Lytechinus pictus: one gene and its partner. The protein of the gene in region 1 purifies or fractionates together with the protein of each later gene. This does not show direct contact. Links are inferred from orthologs where the notes say so. Each region holds a gene or a part of one and is shown in the gene's direction. Other genes may lie near its edges.

What was found.
Region 2: the proteins of nucleolar complex protein 4 homolog (region 1) and KRR1 small subunit processome component homolog purify together in Homo sapiens (co-immunoprecipitation; 3 studies listed by BioGRID and IntAct, with this or other methods). This does not show direct contact. The link is inferred for Lytechinus pictus from reciprocal best matches to the Homo sapiens genes NOC4L and KRR1.

What each region holds. Positions count from the first base shown.
Region 1 is NC_087246.1:28,806,847-28,814,591, reverse strand, and holds the start of nucleolar complex protein 4 homolog, read left to right. Parts: upstream 1-4,695; 5' UTR 4,696-4,799; coding exon 4,800-4,928; intron 4,929-5,168; coding exon 5,169-5,270; intron 5,271-6,084; coding exon 6,085-6,237; intron 6,238-7,038; coding exon 7,039-7,176; intron 7,177-7,745.
Region 2 is NC_087253.1:12,255,471-12,263,154, forward strand, and holds the start of KRR1 small subunit processome component homolog, read left to right. Parts: upstream 1-4,588; 5' UTR 4,589-4,609; intron 4,610-7,684. Other genes in the region: putative ammonium transporter 1, read right to left, coding at 688-802. UniProt on the Homo sapiens protein: Part of the small subunit (SSU) processome, first precursor of the small eukaryotic ribosomal subunit.

The sequences.
Region 1 (7,745 bases):
TACAAAGTCAATGGGAGAGGAAAGATGTCACCACCGCTGACGAAATAAACGGCAATGAATGGACTGGTGACATAAACCACGATAATGCCAAAACACCCATATTCCAAACAACGTTCTCGCCAGGTTCATTGATTCTGACCATGCTGACGGCGCGAAGCGACGCAAGCCACGTAGCGGCGGGGGCTGGGGAGGGTTCTGGAGGGGGGTGTCCCCCCTCCCGCGCAGCGAAAATATCAATATCGACGAGCTTAGATTGCTGCTAAATGCAACACATTTTATGTCTATTTAATGCTTCTCCGGCCGGCCACACAGCCGTAACGGTTGCGCGAATTGCGATTGTAAATGTCAAAAAGGTCAAACACAAACTAAAGGAAAGGATTCAAAGTCAATCTCATTTTATTCTTACAGTTTATAGATTTATTCACATCGATGATATCGCTACTTTTACTCCATACTTTCCAATGTCTAGATCGCTACATCCTTAGAAAGTGCAATTTATTTTGTGAATACGTGTTGCTTCTTATGTCAATGACTGACTACTGCATGCGCTGCATGGGTAGCCCCTTGCGCCGCGCCATGCCCTTATCAAAATCCAAATATTGTTCTGACTTTATCAAAGCCTCGGAAGTTCTGAGGCTTCCAAATAATGGGCATCGGTATCATGAGACGGGGTTCCCAACTTATATAATTTGCATGTTTTTTGTTGGTTTTTTTTCAGATACGATACTCAATGAAACTATAACTCTCATAAGACTTCTGTTGATGATGTTTATACTAATAATACGTTCAAGTTCATTTATTAAAACCAATAAACAATAGTGTTGTATAAAATCAAATACAAAACATATATCATAAGATGGTTAGGACCAAAATGAAGCCGAAGCTTGTGAATATTGGCCCTTTACATAAAATATATAAAATACATTATGAAAACAATGTCAACAAATTAAATTAACAAGTAATCGATTAAGAAATACTTACATACATACAAAACCTAGAAACACCCATACACACACCCACACAGGGACACACACACACACACACACACATACAAACAAGGAACCTATAAAGATCCAATCAAGATTCGTTTCTCACTATCAGTTATTGCTATGTTCATTTGTATTGTTATTTACTCACCTATAAAATAATGAATGTGCTCACCACGAGCGTGAGAAATATTTTTAGTCATTCATAATGACTTTATTAATATTACGATTTGTTCTTATTATAAAATGAATTGCGATTTAAAATATGTTTTGAAAGTATAGCTTAATTGACAGGAAAGCAGACTTCTATTTTTACATCATACACTATGTAGGCCTACAAATACAGCGTGTGTGAAAGAGAGAGGAAGAGGGGGGTTGTAGGATGGTCCAAGGGAGAGAGCGAAAGGGGAGGGGTCGTGGACAGTGAAAAGGAGATTTTGAGATCGTGTATGTGGGATTGGTGAAGAAGTCACCATTCGAAACGAATACATATTTATAATTTTAGATGGTTACACTTCATAATTCCGAAGGTTCCTTATTCCGAAGGTTCGTAATTCCGAAACACGTAAATTGCCTATACCCCGATGTTCGTTTATCCGAAAACGTAAAAGGGTTCGTTAATCTGAACATTTGTGGCGTTATTCCGAAGGTTCGATAATCTGAAAACGAAATAAGGTTCGATGTTCCGAAGGTTCGTTAATCCGAAAACAAAATAAGGTCCGTTGTTCCGAAGGTTCGTTAATCCGAAAACAAAATAAGGTTCCTTGTTCCGAAGGTTCGTAAGTCCGAAAACGAAATAAGGTTCGTTAATCATTTAGTTTTTGGACTAACGAACCTTCGGAATTACGAACCTCATTTCTTTTTCGGATTAACGAACCTTCAGAATTACGAACCTCACTTCGTTTTCGGATTAACGAACCTTCGGAATTACGAACCTCATTTCGTTTTCGGACTAACGATCCTTTGGAATTACGAACCTTCGTAAATATGAACCTTCGGAAATACGAACCTTTGGAATATCCAAACCTTCGGAATAACGAAGCTTCGGAATTACGAATGTATGCGATTATAGACGTATCTACACTACTGATGATAACGGCTGAATAATCTTTCTTTACATGTATATTTTGGCGATTTTAAATTTAAAAAATCTTTTCTTGCACCATGAGTGGGAAGAGGTACGTGATTCAATATATTGCAACACAATATAACCATAGGTGCAGTTTTAAAGTTACAGAAATTCACGAACAGATAATAAAAGAAAAAAAAAAGAGAACGATCTTAATTTTATAGCCCCCCACCCAGCATAAACAACATGAAGAATATTTGAGGTCACGAAATCAGCTGATTCGCACTCAAACAACAGATTAACAGGGCACGTGGCACAGGGCGGGAATTCCGGGAAACCCGTTTTCAAGCACAATGATTGGCTCAACCCAGAAAGTGAATACTATAATTAAACTTGATCACGTACCATCGGCTTTGGGGCATCTCGTAATTCCGCACATTCCAACTCATTTCATAAATCAACCACTCGCGGTAATTAGGCTGACGACGTTGTAAAGATAACTCTTTATAAAGCATAAAATTAAACAATTTATCCAACGATATTCCAATTATAATAATAATAGCAACTCATGTGGGCGTTAACAAACGAAATACATATCCTCGTACTTCAAATGAATATGTGCAACGAACGTAGAGGGCAGCAACACACATCAGTGTTGCTATTAGGAAGGTCCACTCGATACGCGTATACAATGTTTTGAAATCGGCTGTGAATAATACGTGTGAGGAATTTGATACTGGCCCAAAATCGCCAATTTTGAGGATAACCGGAGGATGGACACGGAGTGAAATAAGGGTGAAGAGTAAGAAATTAAGCTATTTTTCTTTCTCGTTTCTTTAATTTTTACAATAAACCAGATTTTTATCCCACCTTTGTCACTCGGAATATCCGATCGAGTTCACCGTCCCGAAGTTCGGGTAGGTGTAGCGTAGTGTAGCGGTAGTGAGGTGGAGTGGAGCCTGCACGAACTTCGCCCGAGGCAGTATACTAGTATACTAACCACGCAATACGTGTGAGTGGGTCTAATCTACATCAGTACATGTACATGTCTAACCCTTCGAGTCAAGCCAAGGCAGCCCTAGCCAGGAGGCTCCTACTCCTAGAGAGTAAAAATCATTTTCTAACGTATGCTTACTCGACCATGGAGCCAGGGATTGTATCCCATTCATGTGCGTGTACCGCAAAAAACCCTGAAACTTTCGCCCCCGAGATTTCTACTTCTAGAAGATCTAGCCCTATATCATGTAAATGGGATACAACTTCATTTCCAACATTTCTACGATATTGATGTCATTTTTAAACAAGAATTCATTAAAAAAACGATAAAAATGTTATGAAAAGACAGGGAAAACTTGCCACCGTGTTTTCATCGCCATCTTGATTTCTATGTCTCTTGCCAAGGCTACAGCACGCATATCGCAATATGCGTGCTGGAAAATGGTAAACTGATTTTCTTCACTATTATTTTCTCTTTATTATTGCGCTCCTTTATGGCCATTAAAAGGAGGAATAACATGTACACAGTAATCAAGCAGGGTGCACCCTTTTCTCCATAGACGCTGTAGTTGAGCATTGTGCGAACCTCCACCATTACGAAGCCTATGGCAGACATCCATCTGTGAAGGAGGAGGACCAAAAAAAAAGTTTTATAAAAACTGCTCTGAAACAGTGGATGTATCAGTCTAGGAACGGACGTAAAGTAACAAAAACATTTGCCAATGGCAATGTTGATATACATGTAGACTGTCACTGTATCCTAAGGAAATCACTGAAACCAAGTAATTTTAGATTGCTTTTTCTTTTGGTGTAATCAGATATTAATAAGATTAATATATATTCTTAATTACTTTTTAATGTATGTGACCGTGTGCAATGTGGTAATGCACAAATTATAAACTATAAAATAAAAATTTCACTAAAAACACTGTCACTAAATCTCTATAAAGCTGTCTTACTCCTCATGGTGCGAGTCCTCTTTCATCTATTCAGTTTCCCATAGAACTAGAAGAAGAAGACTTTAGATCACAACCTTTAAGAGTACTCCTCGTTATCTGAGTCCCCTCCTATATATGACACGTTTAGGATATTGGATGGTCTTAACACAGGAATGGGACTCACTCCACGAGGACTTAATAAGACAGTTTTATAGTGGTTCCTAATTTGATCCTTTTGATTTTGGAGTTTCATATTCATTGTAAATATTCATTTATTATCACTAGCAAACTGTCTAAAACTGGTTTTGAAGAGGAGGGAAATGAGGGGTAGATGGATATCAACGGGTTAGTTGCCATTTTGTGGGAAGGTACCAAGGGTAATAGTACTCCACTACTCCTCTAACATTCATATAAATCTAGAAATGAATCAGAATATTGACATATGTTTTGGGAGATTATATTCCTCAATTCTGGAGAATAATAAACTTTGATCTGTAAGCTGTACACTCAAAACATACATATTACATGAGGGATCAAGTGAACTAACTTACTTAAATATTTCCATCCCCAAATGTAGACAAAAGGACCACAATGATCTCATTTTACTTTCAAAATTCTTGTAAATTTGCCTGTCTGTGCCGCCATGTGGTACTTACGTACATGTAGCAAATTTTTGTGTGCATTTGTGCTGATGATGAAATGCCTTTCTTTCTTCCATGTTCAATTCTTTAGCATGATGAAAAGGACATTGTCAGTGCTGCCATCCAGGCTACATCGAAGATCTTCTGTCATGTTTTGGCTGAAGATGGAATGGTCTGTACCTCTGCTATATCAGGTGCCAAGGAGAAGTATCGGCTTTGGTTACAGGCCAGGTACAACAATGCCATCAGGTGTCTCTGCAACGTGGTCGGGACCTTTGTGACAGTACCCGTCTTGCAGGTAGGTGTGTCTTTTTTATCCAGGCATGCTTATCCAAACTCATAACATATTTGTTGTTTTTACAAAGTAATACAACAGAAAAGTTTAATTAGGTTTTATGAAATTGAACATCACTTTCCCTCTTTATTATTTATCCACTCTAGCTGTGTAGCTTGCGTAGTTGATGTTTTAATCATATTGTCATAATTTAATAATTGTTAAGGTTTCTCAGGGATTTGTTTTTTTATTTCTGTATTCAAGGAACTTGCTATGAGGACGCTGATGAAGTTTTTAGCAGAAGAATCGAAACATCCTTTTAAGAAGGAAGGCTCAAACTTCTTCTTTCCCATTCACATTATCGCAGTGAGTTCATTTCTGATTTTATATTACATCATTAACATCTAAGCTGAATCATATAATAAGTATATTTGATATTTCAAATATACGTACAGAGCGTGTAATAAAGTTAATCGGAAAATTGCTTGCAAAGAAGTATACATGTAGGCCCACATCATTTGAACAAATGTTTTACCCCTTAATCGTTAGTATAATGTGTTGATTCTTGAACAAATACATTGGGGAGACATACTAGACAATGCAAACTTTGAGTTGTGCCAAATTTAGCTGCCTTTTCATAATCAAATTGGCTTCTACAGTAATGATGTTGTCACATACAGATTACAATGAATAATGTCTTCATTTAAGTGAGTAATTAATGTACCTCTTTTATTTCCGAATGAAATGACAGCTTTTAGCTAGGATTAGTTGGTGCAAGTCAAATTTTGCTCTCTTAGCATAAATAATGTTTTATATCCCTTCAAGCGTGAAGTGATTCCACACAAACATGATATGAAATGATTTGTAATAAAACATTCTTTCATATGATTATAACAATGTGATGTTCACACATGGAATTATTTATGAATTATCAGCAAGTGCGTTGGTGAATCAAGTATTTAGTGGGTTATTTACCTGTGCAGAGTCATTGCTATTGTATTGGTTTTCTTTAACATCGAATAATTACACATAAACAAATCTTTCTCCAATGATACATTTCTGACTTTGCTTGATTTAATTTTGTATGCACTTTAACTATTTGTCTTAAATTTTAATCTCTGATTTATAGTATTAACGAGAATTCAGATATCATATTTAAAAGAAATGTTGTCTTTAACAGCTATTGGTACCTCAGCTTCTTTCCAAGAGTGTAGTTTCCAGTGAGTTGATTGGTCGATTTAGGGAGTACATGGAGTTTGATGACGTCAGGTACCATGTATTACAGCACATTCAGCATCATATATCAAAGCAGTCAAAAGAAAAATTAAACCAGGTGTGTACAATGTTCTTTCCCTTTCTCAGTGAAGTGTGGTATTTCACAAGGCTATTCATATGTTTTGCACAATTTCATGCATGACCCATGATCCTTTCTTGTGCTAAATCTGCTTCTCAATAACTTTTACATATCGTCTAACATCATTTGTCCATATTACCTAGCATCGTCGTAAATTAGCATTTCGTCTATCGTTTATTCCTCCATTGAGCAAATTGTCCTATCATTTTGTCAAGTAATTTATTTTCATGTTTTTTAGGGGGGGGGGGGGATAGTTGCGTTGAACTGGCAGAAATAGGGAACAAGCAAAAAAAAAAACCAAACAAACAAACCTTCCCTTGAACTTGCTGAAATTTCACATTTCACATCTGAACAATTTGATTTAGTTGGGAACTACCAAGAAAATGGGGAGTAGTCCCTTTCTTAACTCTGAAATATTGATTTTAGGGAATTTTAGATGCCTATTAGAATGATGAATTATGGCTTGTCTTGCCAGAATTGGTCATGTAATGTCTTATTCAGTACACACATGTACTAGTATTATTATTAGTCATGTATTAGTCTTTTCTTGTTTAAATCACACTGTTTTAAACAGGTGTTTGATTCAAAAGAAAACATGATTGATCTGAAAAAAAATGTACTAAAAAGGATAAAAGGGCACATATTAATTTGTTTAAAGGGTTTCTGTATATGATGATCATTTAAAGAATCAATGCATGTACTTGTTACGATAATAAATAATTGATAATATAATTTTTCCTCTTATATGTTTCTATCTCATGATCAAAACATGCATATCAGATGGAGATGACAACCTTGTGTAACAACACTGTGAACCTCCTGCATACCGTTACCATGCCAACTGATGAGGAGAGTATCAACAACTTCCTTGGAATGAGTCCTGATCTAGACGAAGGAGCAAGGATAACTATTCTTAAAGTAAGAAATTATCTGACCTCCCTATGATTTTTCAAGTAGTGGAAAAAAGAAAAGAAAAAGAGATGAGACTTAAAAAAGCAAAGGGGAAAAAGGAAGCAAGTAGGGTATAATGAAGAGAGGCCTGGGTCGTGTAACTCCTTATTGTAACATCCCCACTTCATGTAAATCCTGATAGATTGGTTAACAACAGTGTACTGAACACCTGCATTTACATGTATCACTGTGTTTGTCTCATTAGTGTTTACAAACCTCATTTAAAAACCAAAATTTTCCTTGGATCTGACTAGTCTGCTGTGCAATCCCTTCACTCGAGTTAAGGGTCTGAATGTGCAGCCTATTAATGCCTTGTGTACTAAAGGCCCTCTCACTCAGAATGGAAACAGCAAGTTTTGTAATTTTTTGCATGGAGACCCACTTGTTAGATCAAAGTTTCAATCAGGGTCTGTGCCTGCAGACTAGGATCTGACTGCTTGTCCTACTGATTTATCCTTATAATTCCTGTGCTATGGATTCAACATTAATTTTTATTATATTTCTTTAATTGTTAATTCTCACCCGCTGCATGTGCT
Region 2 (7,684 bases), on another chromosome or scaffold:
ACCCACTCTTTAATTGCCATTTGTATACTTATAATCTCTCTGTGTTAAGTTATTTATCTAATTCGGTACAAATAAAATGAAAGTATAATACAATGAGATGATATACATAATAAAAACAAGTTGATAGAAAATTATACAAGCCTCAGTGAAAATCATGAATATGTACGTATTAATATGAAAGAATACTGTGTAATCTGGGGCCCGTAACCAAAAGCTTAGCAATGATCGTAGAACACTTTTCTACGATTGATTCCATTGACTACAAAACACAATCAATCGTGAAAATCAAGCGTACGATTAATCGCTAACTTTGTTTTTATACTTCGTAACTCTGCATACTGTATATGCAAACATACTTTTACCTTTGCTATGTTTCAATCGTTTATTAACTTGTCATATATATCACAAATTCAACTGTATATATATATATATATATATATATAAATTAAAAAAAGTGGGTGCTGCCCAGGATCAGGATGCTGGCTTGTTTAAAAATGTCTGACTGGCAAAAAAGAAGCTTATTGGATTGGTAAGGAAAATTTTGACAAGCAAAAATAAAAGTTTTCAGTCTAAATATATATATATATATATATATATATATATATATATATGTTTGTATACCTATCTATCTATTAACCTTTGTGTCTAAAACTATCTCACTCGGACACAAAAGTTTTATATACTCACAGAATATGATACAGGACATCACCAGAAGAAAAAAATGATCCATGTTTTCCCTGAGATAGCCAAAGTCATCTTGGAGTTGCATCAAAGCAAGTTCACTTCCATTAATTGGCGGCATTCTGTGGTAAAACAAACGTTCCTTCTGCCTTGGAGAAAGTAATCGAATCAACCTTAATCAGATACACCGCACATATAGGACGTGAGAGTTCTGGCGCCTCGTTCAGTTCTGGTGGAAGACTCCGAACGCCAGTGAATGGGTGTCCATTCTCCCGCAGAATGCGCACGCAATAAAAAGCTGCTCGCTCCAGGATCCAAGCGTGAACACAAGGTCACGTGCATCGATTGGGACCACGTGGTGGTATTTTAGTTCCGTGAATGGAAACTTTGATAATAGTCTACAGGGGCGGATCATGCAGCCTTCGCCAATAGGGGGGGGGGCCCGGATTTTTTTTCAGCCATATTTTCCCCGATCGGCCGCTCGATTTTTGGTTTCTTTGAAGGGGTAGCCCTAATAGTCACTTTTTAGCTTTATTCTTATTACTCAACATAAATACATGATCCTTATTTATATAATGCGAGCGCGAAGCGCGAGCTAATTTTTTTCTGGAAATCTTGTGTATTTTTCCCCTAAAATTTGAACATTCTGGGCAATGTTTGTTATCCTGAAAAAGATGTGTATGCAACTAAATAATTACTACGAACACGAAGCGCGAGCAGAAGTGAACTGATGGAAAAGGTACCTGTTAAAGACTGCATGCAGTTAGCCATGAAGTCGTTACCTATTTTAAAAATCAAATAATTCGAGCGCAAAGCGCAAGCTGAAATTTGTTGAAATTTTTACCCGAAGAATGGAAATTCTAAGCACTTTTTGTAACTTGAACATAATAGGTATATAACTAAACAATTAATGCGAGTGCGAATTAAGCGCGAGCGGAAAAACTAGAGATTTAGACCTAAAAAACGGGACACTCTATTCATGTTTTGTAAATAATGAAAAGAATGGGTAATAGGGGATCTTTCTACATTAATAATGAGAGCACAAAACGCGAGCAGAAAATTTATGATATTGTGATCTGAAACTGGAAATAATAATGTCCTTAGGACATTTCATCATATGAAAATGAAGACTGTCTTCTTATTCCTCTTGCTAAGCTCGAGATGAAACAAAAGGGACAATTCAATTATTAAATTAATATCTTATTCATTAATGCCTAATGAGGGGGCGAAATCTGATGATATGATGGCCTGAAAACTGGACATTTCAATCAGTTAATATGTTATTAACCATTAATGCGAGCGCAAATGGCGAGCCTAAATTTTTTATACACTGTCATGAAAAGGGGATTTTAAGTAGTTTGTTGTATAATCAATATTGAGACATACATAACTCGCCAATCAAAATGCGAGCGTGCAGCGCTAGCTGATACGTTTTAACAATCAGACCTGAAAAGGGATATTTTGTAAACTTTATGAAATACACGAAAATAATAGGTACCTGATAAATTTGCGAGCGCGCAGAAAATGCTAATATTCAGAGCATAAAACTGACATTTTTTCAGAGCACTTTAAAAAAATCAAAATAAATTACACAAAATAATGAAAGTTCGATTTCCGAGATGAAATATGTTTTATATATTGACTTCCAAACTTGATATTTAAACTCCATAATGAACAAGATATGTAAATGAGCTAAAAGGCAATGCGAGCGCGAAGCGCGGGCGAACATTTTGTTTTTAATGACATGAATTATTTTCTTAATTATTTTCCAAGTCTTCCCCTCATCTTAATTTATTCACTCGTCTTCTTCTTCTTATGTTTCCCCTTCTTTTTCTCCTCTCTCCTCTCTCCTCTTCTTTTTCTTTTTTTCTTTCTTTCCCCTTTTTTTTTCTTCTTTTTTTGCTCCGCCAAAAGGTGGGGGGGCCCGGGCCCCTCGGGTCCCCCTGGATCCGCCTATGGTCTACAGACTTCTCAAAATTTAGATGGTATAGGAACGGTTTTACTTTTTGATTTAAACCTGTCTCCCACTATTTACCGGGCAGAGGAAAGCGACTCCGGCATCATCACCCTCGCTGTGTGTGTTTTTTTTTTTTTTTTTTTTTTTTTTTTGGGGGAGGGGCAAAAGTGGATGTTTAGGAAGCGAGGGGTTTAAATATTTAAAAAAAGTTTGTGCTGCCAGACTAGTTCAGCACACTTGCTTGTGTTTCGGAGTTGGGGTTTCCCCCATTTTTTGGTTAGAGTTTTTTTCACGTGGTGTGCAGCTTCTCTTCTTCACTCTCGACCTTTATTCATCCATTCTGATGTTAAAATATCTTGAGGTTTGATCGATTTCAGGATTATCTTCTTTTTATTCTAGTCTCTGACCCAACAAAAGAAGATTTAGGTGCTGAAAATACATTATTTCAATGTAGGTCTATAAAAAGGGCACTAGAGAGTTGTGACGACCAATCAGGTTAGAGAAGGGGATGAAAGCAAAGGATCGGAGTAGGCAGACACAAAGGGAAGTCAGTGTAAGTAAGGCCAGTAAAAGACCCTAATAAAGCTGTGAGGGATCAAGACAATTGGGCAGGCAACATCAAACAGGATCTGGAACAAAACAGTGATGGGGGTGGAGGAAGAGATGAATAACAAGAGAATTAGTGAGAGGTGGGTCAAACAGGTTACAAAGAAAGGCATAATAAACTGGTGCATAAGAGTGGGGGGAAAGAGAAACAACTGATAATGTGCAAAAGACATATAAGTAAAAAGGATAAAGCAAACAAAAATCCAATTAATAAAGATTAACTTCATGACGTCATCCGCCTTTTCTTTTCATATACATTCCGGACCTTGTTCCGGACCTTGTACCGGATTTGACAGTCCCCTCGACAAAAATATTCATCTAAAGTTGCATGCCACGAATTAAAAGACCCTTTTTCTATCTATCTTTCTATCATCTATCTATCTATCTGTCCATCTTTCTTTCTGTCTTCTTCGTCTTCTTCTTCTTTCTTTCTTTTCTTTCTTTCTTTCCTTCCTTCTTTCTTTCTTTCTCGTCTCCTTCTTCCTTTTCTTCTTCTTCTTCATCATCTTCTTATTCCCCTTTCTTCTTGTTCTTCTTTTTCTTCTTCTTTTTCTTCCTCTTTCTTTCCTTTTCTTCTTTTTCTTTTTTTTCTTCTCCTTCTTTTTCTTCTTCTTCTCCTTTTTCTTTTTCTTCTTCTTCTTTCTTTCGTTCTTCTTCTTCTCATTCTTCCTTTCTTCTTCTTTTTCTTTTTCTTCTTATTCTTCTTCTTCCTTCTTTTTTCTTTCTCTTTCTTCTTTTCTTCTTTCTTTCCTTTTCTTCTTTTCCTTTTTGTTCTTTCTGTCTTTTTCTTCTTTTTCTTCTTCTTCTTCTTCTTCTTCTTCTTTCTTTCCTTTTCTTCTTTTCCTTTTTGTTCTTTCTGTCTTTTTGTTCTTCTTTCTTTCCTTTTCTTATTTGTCTTTTTCTTCTTCTTAATTTGAGCTATGTAAAAATTAAGTATTATTATCATCTTATCTTATCATAGTCACCTGCAGTGCAAGCGATAACGTGGGATCGGAATCGCCCTTGTCATGATATGCATGCTTGTGGGTATCTATGTTCAAGAGGATCGTTGGGGATCGTTTTTGTCTATTGCCTTTCTTTTGAGGGACTATGATTGTGGGGGTATTATGCTCTTCATTGCGAACTGAACCATGATGTTCAGTCTTGCCTTATAGCCTCAAAAAGATGTCCCAAACAACTCTTCCCAATCAATGTTTATTATGATGTATCACGCGTGTTTCGCGTGATCGACCATGCCTTTGGCCCATGGTAGCGCGTCAATAACATAGAAAATGTCGCTAAATTATTGTTTGGTTACAAACATAATCAACTCGACGGATTGTTATGGTTCTCTCTTAAAAAATCGAGAACTAAACAGGTGATAAAGTAAGCTGAACGTTGCCTCTATTTTGTGTTTTTGTTTCCTTTTGTTTGTAGTTTGTGTTTATTTTTTGTTTTGTGTTTGTTTGTTTGTTTATTTTGTGGGGAGATCATTATTTTTTTCATTTTTAAATGATTTCAATAATTAATGTCAAAGATTCAGGGGAAACTGTATGACCCTAAATGCCTTTTACAAAAAAAAAACACCACCATATGTATCAAAATTTACTCTATTTACTCGTTACTCTAGCTGTTAAACGATAATCAAAGTTTTCATTTTTATCTTATACCGGAAAGCATCATAAACGGCCTATAACATACATCATTGTTTCCCTCATCATATAAACACACATTTAATCGCTTTACCCCCATCAAAATGTTTACAACACCTCATAAATAAGAAGAAAAAAGAAGAGGAAGTCATTATTACAACTCACCAAAGCCGTTTTAAAACATTATTAAGGTAAGCAACCGGATTTCAGAACGCATATCAGACAACATTTTACGAAAGTCAAGTGATTATAAATGTTTTTAATGTAATAACATTTATATTCACTGGTAATTAATATTGGTTATGTACCAGCTCAGCTGGCATTATACCAGCAAAAAGCTGTCCTGTCGAGTTCCTTCGGAGTTACCATAATGAGAATCAGAAACATACTGTGCTTGTTTCATGCATTTCTTACTCCTTGAAATATTAAGATATTATGTTTATACATTTTGTTCAAAATATGTCCAATTTCATTTTACTGTGTTTCATTTCTATACTGAATAAGAAAATGCAAGTATTTTCTTTTATGTGTCACCATGGATCTAGTAGGATCCATGGTGTCTGTGAGTGTGTGAGAATTAATACGACTGTGTTGTGATGATGTAGGCCTATATGTGTTTTATAATTTGCATGAATACACTTTTTGACTGTGATATCATAGGAATACGAATAAACATAATGAACTCTCATTTGACTGTACAAAATGTGCATGCTATGATAACATGGTCCATCGAGCGCATTGTCCTTGACCTTGTGTATATTTCATATCAATTATTACTTGATGCACATGGCGCACAGAGGTGGGGGGCTTTGGGGCTAGAACCCCCCCCCCCCCCAAAAAAAAAAAAATAATAATAATAATAAATAAATAAATAAATAAATAAAGATAATAATAATAATACCACCAAGAAAAAAATGAGAAAAGGAATTTTATGTTAAAAATGTCAAAACTATTGCTCGCTCACTCGCAGCTTTCTTGAACTTTTCCCCGTGCGCCACTTCTCGGACCCTCTCAAAGTCTGCGGTTCATTGTGGCTGTTTGCCAACTTATTAAATCATGGGCTTATATATTTATAATATTTTCCTTTCAGTGTTCGATTATCATTATCTTTATCATCATTGATCATAATTGTATTGTTTCTGTTACATTCGACCTCAATTCCTGTTGCTTAATATTGATTTATTCATTAAATATCTAAATTTCAAAAAGTCAGCAAAAATCAAATTATATTCGAATCGTGATACTATTAATACGAAAATGTTTTTTTAACATGGTGAAAATATAAAACGTTTTCATGCAAGTATAATGCAAATGTAATAAAATGTTATAGTTATTATCATTATCATTATTCATGCAATGAAATGTACGGCGTTATTAGTCCAATATACAACACAGTACAGATAATAGATTCACTGGACTGCCAGGTAGGTTCAAATGAAATTAAATGAACCTTACTTTTGTCATTGGAGATACATTTATTAGACCCTATATGCATTGAATGCTTACAAAATGTGATGTCGAACAAGAATGTCTCTAAATCAGTGTTATTTCTTTGCTTTAATTACTTTGCATTTTTATTTGGGAGGGGGTAAAGGCTGCATATAATACATGTACAAAACGCATACAAAAACACACTGTCCAACGATTGCCCAAACCTTAGTTACGTCATTATTTTTTACTAGTTTACGCTTTAAAAAATGTGGATAAAATATAGTTACTATATGACAGTTCTGCTTGTGATAATGTTAAGAAAACATTCATATAAAATGTGCCGTGCATCGATCAAAATTTTGGAAGTAAAATGTATTCTCGGCTACTACATGGAATTTATTTGTATCGGCTTTGAAGTGTACAGTCAAACACTACGTTGAAGTACAAGATTTAGCTTGAAATAATAAACATTTACTTATACAAAATGGGTTGGGGTTGAAAATACATTTCTAAACATTCAGAATATTCATCAAATTATATCTTAACTTTACTTATTCAACCTTTCGCAGTCATCCACTCAGAATGTCACAGACGGGAAAGGTATGCATAACTATGCCTGTTGCTACTGCAGCAGCAGCTTCTCTACTTTGTTCTGACCTCGCATATAAAAAATAAATAATCACTATTTGGAGCATTATTTATCAAGCGTCAAGCCACTTGAGGCCAAGTCACACATCATTGAATCATTGTGAGACACAATAAACATGTACCTTCAGAATGAATTTTTCCAACTTATTTGCTATTGTAGTTCCCTTTCATACCCCAGATCATTTTTCGATCGTCATGTTATTATGTGTAGTCTAAATCACTCACGTAGTTGCTTTTGAAACAGTATATTTGATGTGAATTGTTTGCAGTTATTGAAGTAAAATCACATAGGGGCCCACCGAGGGTGATTTGTGACGACACTACCGAATGTGCATTGTTATCATTTTTGGACAAACATGATTATACCAGCCGCATCTAATGGAGTTCAAGGATGGCTTAACGTAATGAGCAGAAAAAAAATAATGAAAACAGAATATAAGGAAGCTGAACGTGGTTATAGGGCCTATTATTATGGGACAAAATCCTGGGGCCAAAAGATGAACAAAAAATACTAGAATGTTTGGGATATTTGTTAACTTTATGACTTGACTTTGAATCTGAGCTGCAAGATCCCATTTGCCTTCTGTGTTTGTAAGATATTGATGAAACCTGAAAAGTTGCACCCGAAATATTTATCTATTTCAAAAGAAAGTGAAATATAATAAATGTAAAGCGACGGCCGGGATACACCATCTCAATTTTGTTTCGTAATACATGATTAATCTCCCAT